Alligator mississippiensis: one gene and its partners. The protein of the gene in region 1 interacts with the protein of each later gene in a pairwise test. Links are inferred from orthologs where the notes say so. Each region holds a gene or a part of one and is shown on either strand. Other genes may lie near its edges.

What was found.
Region 2: the proteins of GIT1 (region 1) and PFDN1 interact in binary tests that used the Homo sapiens proteins (3 or more experiments, as listed by UniProt). The link is inferred for Alligator mississippiensis from reciprocal best matches to the Homo sapiens genes GIT1 and PFDN1.
Region 3: the proteins of GIT1 (region 1) and HMOX2 interact in a two-hybrid assay, tested with the Homo sapiens proteins (2 studies listed by BioGRID and IntAct). The link is inferred for Alligator mississippiensis from reciprocal best matches to the Homo sapiens genes GIT1 and HMOX2.

Annotation. Positions count from the first base shown.
Region 1 is NC_081837.1:1,504,140-1,507,884, reverse strand, and holds the start of GIT1 (ARF GTPase-activating protein GIT1), read left to right. Parts: upstream 1-873; 5' UTR 874-949; coding exon 950-1,001; intron 1,002-3,504; coding exon 3,505-3,638; intron 3,639-3,743; coding exon 3,744-3,745. UniProt on the Homo sapiens protein: GTPase-activating protein for ADP ribosylation factor family members, including ARF1.
Region 2 is NC_081832.1:43,038,379-43,042,123, forward strand, and holds the start of PFDN1 (prefoldin subunit 1), read left to right. Parts: upstream 1-1,169; 5' UTR 1,170-1,242; coding exon 1,243-1,275; intron 1,276-1,604; coding exon 1,605-1,771; intron 1,772-3,745. UniProt on the Homo sapiens protein: Binds specifically to cytosolic chaperonin (c-CPN) and transfers target proteins to it. Binds to nascent polypeptide chain and promotes folding in an environment in which there are many competing pathways for nonnative proteins.
Region 3 is NC_081836.1:23,784,193-23,787,937, reverse strand, and holds the start of HMOX2 (heme oxygenase 2), read left to right. Parts: upstream 1-1,521; 5' UTR 1,522-1,630; intron 1,631-3,745.

The DNA of each region.
Region 1 (3,745 bases):
GGGGCTGCACCGCGCCGCTCCGCCCGGCCCCGGCTCCGGCTCCGGCTCCGACTCCGGCGCCGCCTCCCGCGGGCAGCGCCGTGCTGCGCCCCGGCTCGGGCAGCCTTGGCAGCGCCGTGCCCGGGCCGTGCCAGCACGCGGGGCGGGGCGGGGCGGGCGGGCGGGCGGGGCCGGGCCGGGGCATCCCCCGCCGCTGGCGCAGGGCGCGGGGCTCGGGGCGCGGGGCCAGGGGCAGCATCCTCGCGGCCGGGCCCCGTGCTGCAGCGGCAGCGGCCGGGAGGAGCCCTCTGCCCCGCGCAGGCTCTGCGGCATCCCCGGCGCTGTCGTGAGCCGCGAGCTGCGGGGGCTGCGGGCAGGGCCGGGCCGGCATGTCGCGGTGCTCACCCGGGCGACAGTAATCGCTGCGGGGCCCCTGGCCCTGCACCCACGGCCCGGCCCGGCGTGTCCCCCCACCCGCCCCGCGCGGGCGCTGCCCGGCCCCACCCCGACACCCCCGCGCGCCCCCCACGGCCCCCGGCGTCAAGTCACGCGCGCCCACGGCGCGTGGCAGGCGAGGGCTGCAGCCCCCGTGGCACTGCCAGGCCGTGCGCGGGCACGGCCGTGCCTCCTGCCACCCGCACCCGCAGCCGCCTCCCGCTCGGGGCCGGGCCGGGCCGGGCCGGCGGGACTGGGGCTGTGGGCAGGCGGGTGCGGGTGCGGGTGCGGGGCCCGCGGGCACGGCTGGGCGAGGCGAGGCGGGGCGGTGCTGTGCGGTGCGGTGCGGTGCGGGGCCGGCCCGCCGCAGCCCCCCCCGCCGGCCGGGGCGGAGCCGGGATCGGGGCCGGGCCGGGCGGCTCCTCCTCCGGCGGGGCCGGGCTTGCGCCGTTTCCTGCAGGAGCCGAGCCCGAGCCCGCAGCTCCCGGCCCTCGGCCCGGCCCGGCCCGGCCCCGCGCGCCCGCCCGCCCGCACCATGTCCCGCAAGGCGCCGCGGGCGGAGGTGTGCGCCGACTGCAGCGCCCCAGGTAGGGCCCGGCCCGCCCCGCCCGCAGCCCCCGCCGCAGCCGCAGGAGCGGGGCGGGTCCGCCTGCGTGCCGGGCACCGCCGTGCCTGCCCGCTCCCCGCCAGCCCTGGGGCCCCCAGCCACCCCGCACCCACCCCGCCACCGGTAAGGGACGTGCCCGCGGCCGCGCGGGCAGGCGGTGGCAGAGCGCGGCCCCGGGCAGGAAGGCGGGGCCTGCCCTGGGGAGCACCGCACAGCTCCTGGCACCGCACGGGCACGGGCACGGGCACTGACCCTGGTCACCTGCCGCCAGGCCATGGCCCGTGGGAGCAGCTGCCCACGGGCAGGAGCAGGTTGGCCGGGGGCGGAGGCCCCGCTTCTCGCCCGCCGCAGAGCAGAGCCGTCTGTGCCCGGCGGCCTCCCGTGGGCAGCCGCGCAGAGGCACAGATGCAGCCGCGTCACTGCCAAGCGCGCTCGCGCCCGCGCCATCTGTGTGCCCGCCCTGTGCCAGCCGCACGCCCCGAGCCCATCGCCTCCAGTCCCGAGAGCGCCGGTGCCCAGGGTGCCAGGGCAAGGTGGCGCAGCGGGTGCCCACGGCTCAGGGCCAGGGTGAATGCCTCTGTGGCCCCATAGCCTGTGCCCTGTATCCGAAGCCCAGCTGCTCCCCCTTTGCCCGCGCGCCCATCCAGAGTCGCTCTGTCCGGTTCCCAGCAGGAAGGAAGCGCGGGGAGGGCCTGGTCCCCGCCCCGGCTAGGCTTCCTCTGCAGGGCTCAGAGGCCAGCGATGCTGAGGCCTGTGCCAGCCCCCCCAGGTGCTACCATGCCACCCAGGCCCCGAGTCCTTGAGGAACCCAGGCATCCTCAACAGGGAGCTGGCCCGTGCGTGGGCTGGGGCTGGGCAAGGCCCTCGGGCAATGCCAGGGTTGCATCGGCCCCATGGGTGCCTGGCCTCCGCGGCTCCCAGATGCCCAGCGGCTGCTCACGGATCGGGGGGCCCTGCTCCATCCCAGCCCCAGGCCTGCACTCAGCACCATGCGGAGCCACCTGCCCCCTGGCATCAGGGCTGTGGGGTGGGAGCGAGGGCACCGGGTGGCGGGGGACCTGGGGCTGGGGCTGGCCGAGCCGTGGGGCAGCCCTGGGCTGGGGAGGGGGAGGCCACGTCTTGCCTGGGCCTGCGCGGGGCCCTGCGGCTGCAGGAAAGAAACCTTGACCTGTTTTCCTGCGGCTCCGGCAGCTGAGCCAGGCCTGCGGCGCCTCGGCCTTTGCTTTGCTAATTGGGTGGTTTGAACTTTGCAGGCAGCGTTTGCACAATGGGCCTCGCGCCCAGAGCTCCTCTCCTCGGGGCGGGGGGCAGGGAGGGGGCAGGGGGCTGTGGCCCGGGGGGCCTCCAGGCTGACACCTCCGTATGACGCCAGGGGTTGGGGTGAGGGGCATCGGCAGGGCTGGGGGGCTGCTGGTCGGAAGCGAGGGGCACCCGCTGGGATGGGGGGCTGCGGGGCAAGAGCGAGGGGCACTGCAAGGCCTGGGGGGCAGCAAGCCAGGAGTGAGGGGCACCACAAAGCCTCAGGGGCCATGGGTTGGGGGTGAGGGCAACTGCAAGGCTCGGGGGGCACAGGTTGGGGGTGAGGGCACCACAAGACATGGGGGGCTGCGGGTCGGGAGTGAGGGGCACCGACAGGGCTGGGGGGGCTCCAGGCAGGCCGATGCCCGGGCTGGGGGAGCGGAGCCGCGCTCCGGCCAGGGCAGCACCAGCTCCGGCTGCAGCACAAAGCGCCCGTTCTCCCCGTGACCTTTCCACTGCGGCGGCTGGGCCGGGCCGTGCGGCTGGCGTGTGCCCGGGGGCTCCCCCACAGCGAGGCCCATGCTGCACCCCAGTCCAGCGCGTGGGGCGGCCGCTGCGCCGGACGCTGGCGAGGCCGGAGCGGAGCCGTGCCCGGGGGCACCGGCCGCCCTCCCCCTCCCCGGAGCCGAGTGCTCGCGTCTCAAACGGCCCTTTGTTCTCCGAGTGCCAGAGCGAGGACAAAGGCTCGGGGCTGGCGCTGGGGGGGCTGGGCCGGACTGGGGGGCAGCGAGGCCAGGCCGGGCTGCGGGGCAGGTGGGTGAGGGGCAGCTGGCACTGGCACGGGGCCGTTGCAGCTGGGCTGGGAGCCGCTGGGCCCGAGACCCTGGGGGTGCCGGCTGGGCAGGGGGCTACTTCCCGCTCCCCCAGGGGCACGGGGCTGGTGCCCCTCAGGGCCAGGCATCGCCCCCGCACGTGCCCGCCCCAAGCTGGCGGCCCCCGGGAATGGGCGCAGCATCGTCCTGGGCACAGATTGAGGCTGCCCCCCCTGCGGGGTACTCCTCCCCAGCACCCCCGTGCCAGGTTGCTACGGGAACCTCTAGGTTTCCCTAGTTACAGCGCCGCAACTCCAGGGCCTGGTGGTTTCCATAGCAACCATGCCCAAAACCGTGGGGGGACCCAGAATGGGCACGGGGCCGGGGGATGCTGGGTGGCCCCCGGGGCCCTGACGCCCGCCTGCCCCGCAGACCCCGGCTGGGCCTCCATCAACCGGGGCGTGCTGATCTGCGACGAGTGCTGCAGCGTGCACCGCAGCCTGGGCCGCCACATCTCCATCGTCAAGCACCTGCGCCACAGCCCCTGGCCCCCCACCCTGCTGCAGGTGGGTCGCGCCCCCCCAAGCGCGCGCGGGGCCGGCGGGGCGTGAGCGGGCGCCCCCCCGAGCCCCTGGCCCCCGCCCGGCTCTGACTCGCCCGTGTCCCCGCAGAT
Region 2 (3,745 bases), on another chromosome or scaffold:
ACTTTCTGCTCCTCAGGCAGCGATCTAATCTTCACATTGGCTGATACAACCCTACACATGTATGGCATAATACACTCATTAATAATTACATGTACAATCATATGATACCACTTCTGGGCCCTGGTTGGTTGATGAACGTGATACATACCCAGAAATAGATACCATTTTTGTTACTCGCCTGTCTCAAGGGTATAACAGCATATTTCAATAAGCAATTGCATATTTTCTAAGTCCACAGCGCATGGACAGTAGCAGCTCAAGCTTTGGCCCGGCCCCATACTCAAATCCAAGAAAAAAGCAATTTTTCTCTTTCTGATGTCTGTGTGCACGTATGATTGTGTGGAGATGGCAAGTAAGGCTATGGGAGCAAAGGAAGGGTTTTTCTTTGCTTATCTACAAGGGTTCTAAAAGCCCTGCTCTTCCTGGTATTGGACTAATATTTACTGAACCATAATTTCCTTGGATCAGTCCATATCTTTTTAAAAAATAGATACTATTTTTGTTACTTGCCTGTCTCAAGGGTATAGCAGCGTATTTCAATAAGCAATTGCATATTTTCTAAGTCCACAGTCCAGAGTGCACAAACATCCTCTGTTTTATTGTCTGCTTACTTGCTACACTACACAATTTGTTCATTTGCCAGGAATCCCACCGCTGTTAGCAGCACCGAGCCAGGGTTGGGTCTACCACAGAAACAATCCTGCAGTGGTCCGGGCGCGAGCACAGGCTCGGCTCCTTGGGGACACGCAGCGCTGCCCTTGGGCTTCAGGGGCTCCACGCTGATGGCCACCAGGAAAGACTCTGCTTCAGTGCACAGGGCAGGACCCGAGCTGCAAGCAGGCCAGGATCTGGCCTTAACCCCTGCGGCTGCTGCTGCGGAGAGCGCTGCAGGCCCAGGTCACTGCTAGGTCGCCTGTAGCTAAGTCACACCGCAGAAAGCAGCGGGAGCAGGTGCAGGGCGGGGCGCTCAGCCGCTCCCGCACCTGGCGAGTGAGTAGAGAGCCGGGGCCGGGGCCGGGGCCGGGGCCGCGCTGATGGGCGAAAACCTCCACCTCACGCCCGCGCTGCGCCAGCAGCTCCTGGACCTGATACGCGGCCCCGCCCAGCTCCGAGCGGGGGCGGAGCTCGGCCTTGCTCCTCTCTCGGCCGGGGACAGGCTGTAGTAGACTTGGGCTCAGCGACCCTCACTGCGCAGGCGCGCGGACCCCAGACACGCGGCTGCACCGCGCAGGCGCAGGCAATATGGCGGCGCCTGTGGACCTGGAGCTGAAGAAGGTAGCGGCGCCGCGGCAGGGTCCGTCCTGCTCCTCCCGGTTGGCCCATGGTGGGGGAGGCTGCCTGCGAGGGGGCGCTCGCCCCGGCAGGAGTCGTCCGTCCTCTTCTGTCCCCTCCCCTCCCCTGGCGCAGCCTGTGCGAGGCTGCGGAGCGCTGCAGGCGGGCGGGGGCGGCCTGGGCTCGCGGGCCGGTGTCGGAGCAGCGCTGGGTCCTGGCCTGCGGGCTCGCGGCTGCCGCTGCGATTTCTGAGGGGAAAGGAAACCGCTGCGGCGCAGAGCCTGGCCCTGTTCCCCCCGGCCCTGACTGCTTCTCCCGCGCTTCTCCCTTAGGCTTTTACTGAGCTGCAGGCCAAGGTCATTGACACTCAGCAGAAGGTGAAGCTGGCAGATATGCAGATAGAACAGTTGAACAGGACAAAAAAGCACGCGCACCTCACGGACACTGAGATTATGACGCTGGTGGACGAGACACGCATGTATGAAGGTGTAGGAAGAATGTGAGTAACTTCTTTTGCAGATGAAGAAGTTAGGCATGAGTTAAAGGGTCTTGTCCTTCAAGCCTGCTGGAACCTATTGTTTTTTTGACTTGGATTGCTTTTAGGCTTGCTTCTTTCCATAGGTGACAGTGAACAATCAGGAATATGCATATGTTAGTTGCTCTCTGTCAGATCTTATCTGCTTTATTTAGCCACATCCAAGACAACTTTGAATTTAAGATGACCCCTCCCCTCAGTACTTTGATTCTGTACATGGAAAATTATAAATTTGTTGTAGTTCTGCCCCCCCCATGTAGACTCTCTTTATGGGAGGATCATCTTAATCCTCTTCCCCCCCCATCCCCCACACATGCACACCTCCATTTCTGTGGCAGGGAAAAGCAGCAGTCAGGAGACAAATGGTGGTAGGGAAAGTAATTGGGAAGGGGAGGGATAACAGGCTTCGTACCCACCTGCACTTGTCTCCTTGCCACTTCCCCTATGCGGTGATTCTGGCTCCAGTTCTGGCCCAGGACATGGAGCACACAGTGGCTCTGGCCCTGGCCTGGCCCAGTGGTGGCAGTAGCAACTCTGGCCCCTTGCCTGAGTCAGGGCTGGAGCCACCAGCACCCCTGGTGCTGAGTGTTCTCCCCTGTATGCTCCTCCAGGTTGTACACCTTGAGGCTTACCATTTACCCACTCCACTGTTGCACAAGCTACCCCAGCCTGACAGCAGGGCAGTAGCAGCTCAAGCTTTGGCCCAGCCCCATACTCAAATCCAAGAAAAAAGCAATTTTTCCCTTTCTGAAGTCTGTGTGCACATATGATTGTGTGGAGATGGCAAGTAAGGTTATGGGAGCCCAGCAAAGGAACCGTTTTTCTTTGCTTGTCTACAAAGGTTGTAAAAGCTCCGCTCTTCATGGTATTGGACTAATATTTACTGAACCATAATTTCCTTGGATCAGTCAGTATATTTAAAAAAAAATAGATACCATTTTTTGTTACTTGCCTGTCTCAAGGGTATAATAGCGTATTTCAATAAGCAGTTGCATAGTTTTGTTTGCCAGCTTCACTCATGCAAGTTCACAATTGCATTTAGGGTTTCATGAAATTTATAATCTCTACCAGCACAGTTGGTAAATACCTCATGAACACTAATTGCAAAATACAAATTTGTGAGAAGTTTATATAAGCCTGTCCAACTCTAGTGAAGTTCTTTATGTTGATGCTATATGGAGGGAATCACAATTGTTAATCTAATCCTTGCATTCATGGCCTATATTTTTGCAAAAGCTATAAAATTGCATCCTGCTTATTAGCATGATAATTAATATATATGAAAGATTTATTTTTCTAGAATTTTTTGAAAGAATATATGGAGTGCAGTTTGTGCCAGAATGTATGATCTGCCCAGGTGTGCTGGGTTGGAAAGAAGGAAAGTATAATCTCTATATATTGGAATGACTTCAAAACCAACAAAGCTTAATTTAAGCTAATGCATGTTTTGATGAAACTCTAACAATGTACTTCTGTTGTTGTGATCACACCACCTTCATAAAAGATTCCCCAACTGATTTGAGTTGATAATGCAGCTGGGTATGTATACAGGGGTGTAGGTTGTAGCCGTGTTGGTCTAAGGACATAGGCAGACAAGGTTTCTTGGGTGACTCTGATTATCTTTTATTAGACCAACCCAAATAGTTGGAAAATAATTATTAAGCAAGCTTTCGGGTTCAAAAACCCTTCGTCAGGCTAAGGAAGTTTCAGCAGTTAGTGTGTGCTCTTCCATCCAGGAAGAGCGCATACCAACTGCTGAAACTTCCTTAGCTTGACGAAAGGTTTTTGAACCCGAAAGCTTGCTTAATAATTATTTTCCAACTATTTGGGTTGGTCTAATAAAAGATATCAGAGTCACCCAAGAAACCTTGTCTGCTGGGTATGTATCGCATTCACAGAAGTTTAGTGCTGGAAGGTGTCACAACCCAAGGGTGTGAT
Region 3 (3,745 bases), on another chromosome or scaffold:
ACTACTGGCTCCTGCTTGGAAGGTTATCTTTACTGCAAGGGCTGCAAATGAACATTTTTCTTCTAGTGAAAATTTAGAGGAAATGTGATTGGATAATCTGTTTTGAGTGGATGCGTGGGTTTCACTGGGCGTCATTATTATGAAGCACTGAGTTTTAATAAAAAAGGCTTTTTTTATTTAGAAATTCACAAATCAACTTTATTTAAAAACCTTAACTTCAGATCATTATACCAAGGAGCTGGCATTTATTTGCTCAATGCTTTAAATGTCAACCACATTGACATTTATAGCATTCTTGGTCTGTGAACTCCTAAGAAATGGAATGAAGCTGTTTCTGTATCTAATGTATGAGGGCATGAGGCATGGGGAGTGTGCCAGTCCTATTTCCAATGTCACTCCTATCTGCCAGGAAATTTTCCAGAACTTTTAAGTCCTATCTCTTCCCTACCAAAAGGGACACTGTGCGCTTGCTCTTCCTACTTGCAGAAGGCAGACCATCACCCTGTCTCACCATTACAGGGTGACTGGCAGTGTCTCAGAACTGAGCTGCACAAATCAAATTACCGCTTTACTTCTGTTTTGTGATAGACAGCAGAAGAAGTGGAGGATTTGCTCAGCCTACCTTTGATGATTCCTTTCTCCAGCTTTCCTTAGTTTCTAGGTTTTGAACTGGACTTGGAGGGCACAGGACACTCTTGGAGGGTTAACTGCCATGCTCTGCATTTACAGGAAAACTGTGGCAGGCAGGCACACTGTTCCCATGCCCAGGGTAGGTGCTCCAATCAGTCTGTGTTCACAGGGTTTTTTCATGCAGCTCATCAGAGCAGCAACTTGGTCCTGAGGGAGCAACATGTAACCCAGAATAAGAAATACCACAGAACCCAGCTGGTGTCACTCAGACAGTGTGTGTACAAGATAGCAAAAAAGCAAATCCTGGTCTGTGTCCAAGTCGACCCTGTGTTTGTCCAGGAATAAAAAAAATCTCTTGGGATGGTTGGGACACACATCACCCTTCTAACCAGGGTTTGGTGAGCCGCTGACTGCACTGCTGCTTTTCGGCCATTGATTCAATGCTGTTATCCTGGGATAAACTCTGACCAACTCTTATCTCCTGGGGAACCTTTTTTAGGATTTATCCCAGGACAACAGAGACAACCGTCTGCCTGGCCATGTCACTTTGTCCTGAGATAAAATGGTTTCTCCCTGGATTAACGCCACGTGTGCTTGCGTCTGTAAAGGGCAGAAACGGGAGAAGTGGGCCCAGCAGGGACTTCGTCCCCCGCACTTTATCAACTGGTTTCGGTCCGTGTGAGGGCAAGGCCCCTCGGGCCGGGACTTGGCGCTCCGCCCCCAGCGGGCGGGGAGGTGGTGGCGCGCGCTGAGGGAGCACGTGCACTGGCACGTGGATGAGACGGGGGTGAGGCTCTACGGCCCGGGGTCATCGTCAGGACCCGGTTCTGTTGCGTCACGGCTCCAGCTACCAATGGGAGGCCTCGTCGGCGCAGCCATTTTATTTACTCACGAGTTCGCTGCGGCTTCGCCCCTTCGCGATAACTAATCGCGGCGGTGACTGGCGCGTGTCCCGCCTCTTCCGGCCGCGCTGGGGGCGGTGGCGCTTGCGCTAGCGGCGGTGAGTGCTGCGGAGGCTCAGGGGAGCCGGGGCCGGGGCCGGGGCCGGGGCCGGGGCCGCACGACCCGCGGGTTGGGCGCGGGGCGGGGGCTGCCGCTCTTCCAGGAGCCGGCGCGGCCGGGCGCCGTGTAGCCGCCCCGTGGTCCGCTCCGACCGTCCCGGCGGGGGCCCCAGTGCTGCGGCCGGTCCCTTTGCAGCGCCCGCGGCTCGGCTCGGCCCGGCGCTGCCGGCTGTGCCGGGCCTCGGGCCTGGTCCCAGCTCTTCCCTTCCCCTGCCCTTCAGCCTGGAGCTGGCCGTGTCCGGCCGGCCGGCCGGCTCCTCTGCGCCTTCGCTGTGATTGCTCGAACATGTGTAATGACTTTATAGCTGGTTTCTCTCCAGCTTCGGCGCAGGCCCTGCCAGCTCCCAGCTGCTGGGCAGCCCGCGCAGCACAGCACGGTGCAGCCAACGTGGTCCCCGAGCTGCGGGGGTGCGGGGTGCTCCAGGTAGCAGCTGGGAGACTGTAGCTCCCGCGATCTCCCCGCCATTGTGACCCCCCAGCTGTGGGGCACCAGGGCTGCAGCTGACGGGGCTCTTAGTCCCGGCTGCACCCCACATGCAACTGTACTGAGAGCCCCATCAGACCTAGGACTCTCAGTCCCAGCTGTGTGGGGTCCCTGTAGCTGGGAGCCCCATCAGCAAAGCGGACTCCCAGCCATGGAAGCCTGCTTTGTACTGATGTTGGAGGAGCCCAGGATCCAGTTGTCCCTATACCAGCAATAAGGTGTGATTGGATCTAATGTGCGATGCACTATGGGGTGGATCCTGCATTAGATCCAGTTGTGTCTATACCTGCATGTGTAGTGGGGCCCTGTTTCCCCATTTTTTATTCCAAACATGAGGAGTTGGCCAGCCTCACTGGTGGTCATGCATGGCCTACTCATTGATCATTATTGTTTAAAGAACTCCAGTTGGCCTGCCGGTGAAATCAGAAGTCTAACTTTTTTTTTTACCTGCCACTGAAATTTGGGCCTCTTCTTATTGTGCGGGTGCTTGATTGTAGCTGTTACGATGACTGTCATTACTGCTGTCCATACAAAGCTCTTGTATTAGCATGAATATGTTAAAAGACAGCCAACCTGTGGCTACACTACGAGTGAGAGCCCATTTTTGTGAACTGTTCTTTGTGCATATTGTATTGGAACTTTTATTCCCCTTTCCTTGTTGAGAACTGACACTTATCACTGGGTCCAGTTCAGTGTTAACTTGTGTACTGCAGCATAAAATGGATTTGAATGCATATAAGGTTTCTTGCTACATGACAGCAGAGATGTGGGTTTTCCAGAAAATTTTGAATTGGAAAATTTCCAATGCCCTAAATAGAGTGTGATCTGATTTAGCATGTTTATTTGACGTGTATTTAGTAAACAAAACTAAAAAAGTACCCCATTTTAATTTTATGTCCCAATAGCCACAAGTATTTAAACTGAAATATTTGATTAAGAAAAGAATTGAATATAGTGCACTTAATATGGTTTAAATGTTATATTCAAACAAATTCAAAGCTTCATGTAGAAAGAAATTATTTTTATTGCAATACTAGCAACAATGTAAAGACAATACACAATAGCATGTGCTTCCCTGACATTGTTTGTTTAAATTTAAGGAAAAAAGGCATTGAAAACTGTTGACACACTAATTTGAGCACACCCAAAGAACTGTGCATGATATGCTGTGCTGTGGTTTTGATTTGACCTGCACAGCTGATTAGGTGAATTCATACCTTGATTTTTGGTTTGGCTTATGTGAGTGTATTTACCCTCCTGTTTACAAATCAATTAAACATGTATGTACTCTCTCTCACACTTCCTGGGGATAATCGCCTGAAAAACATTAATTACATCTTTGAAACTGCTAAGCTTGCCTAATATTGTATTGGCATCCATTCATTGTTACTAATGAATTTTATGAAACAATGAATTTTTAGAAATGGAAAGTTTTCCATGGTAAAATAAAGCACTGGAAAATTTTCTGCCCCACATCTCTGCGTGGCAGAGCTTCAAATTGGAGAACTGACAAGTAAGGAACTGTGTTCCATGGGAGAAGATTATTAGGAATTTCTAAATGTTGCGGGGG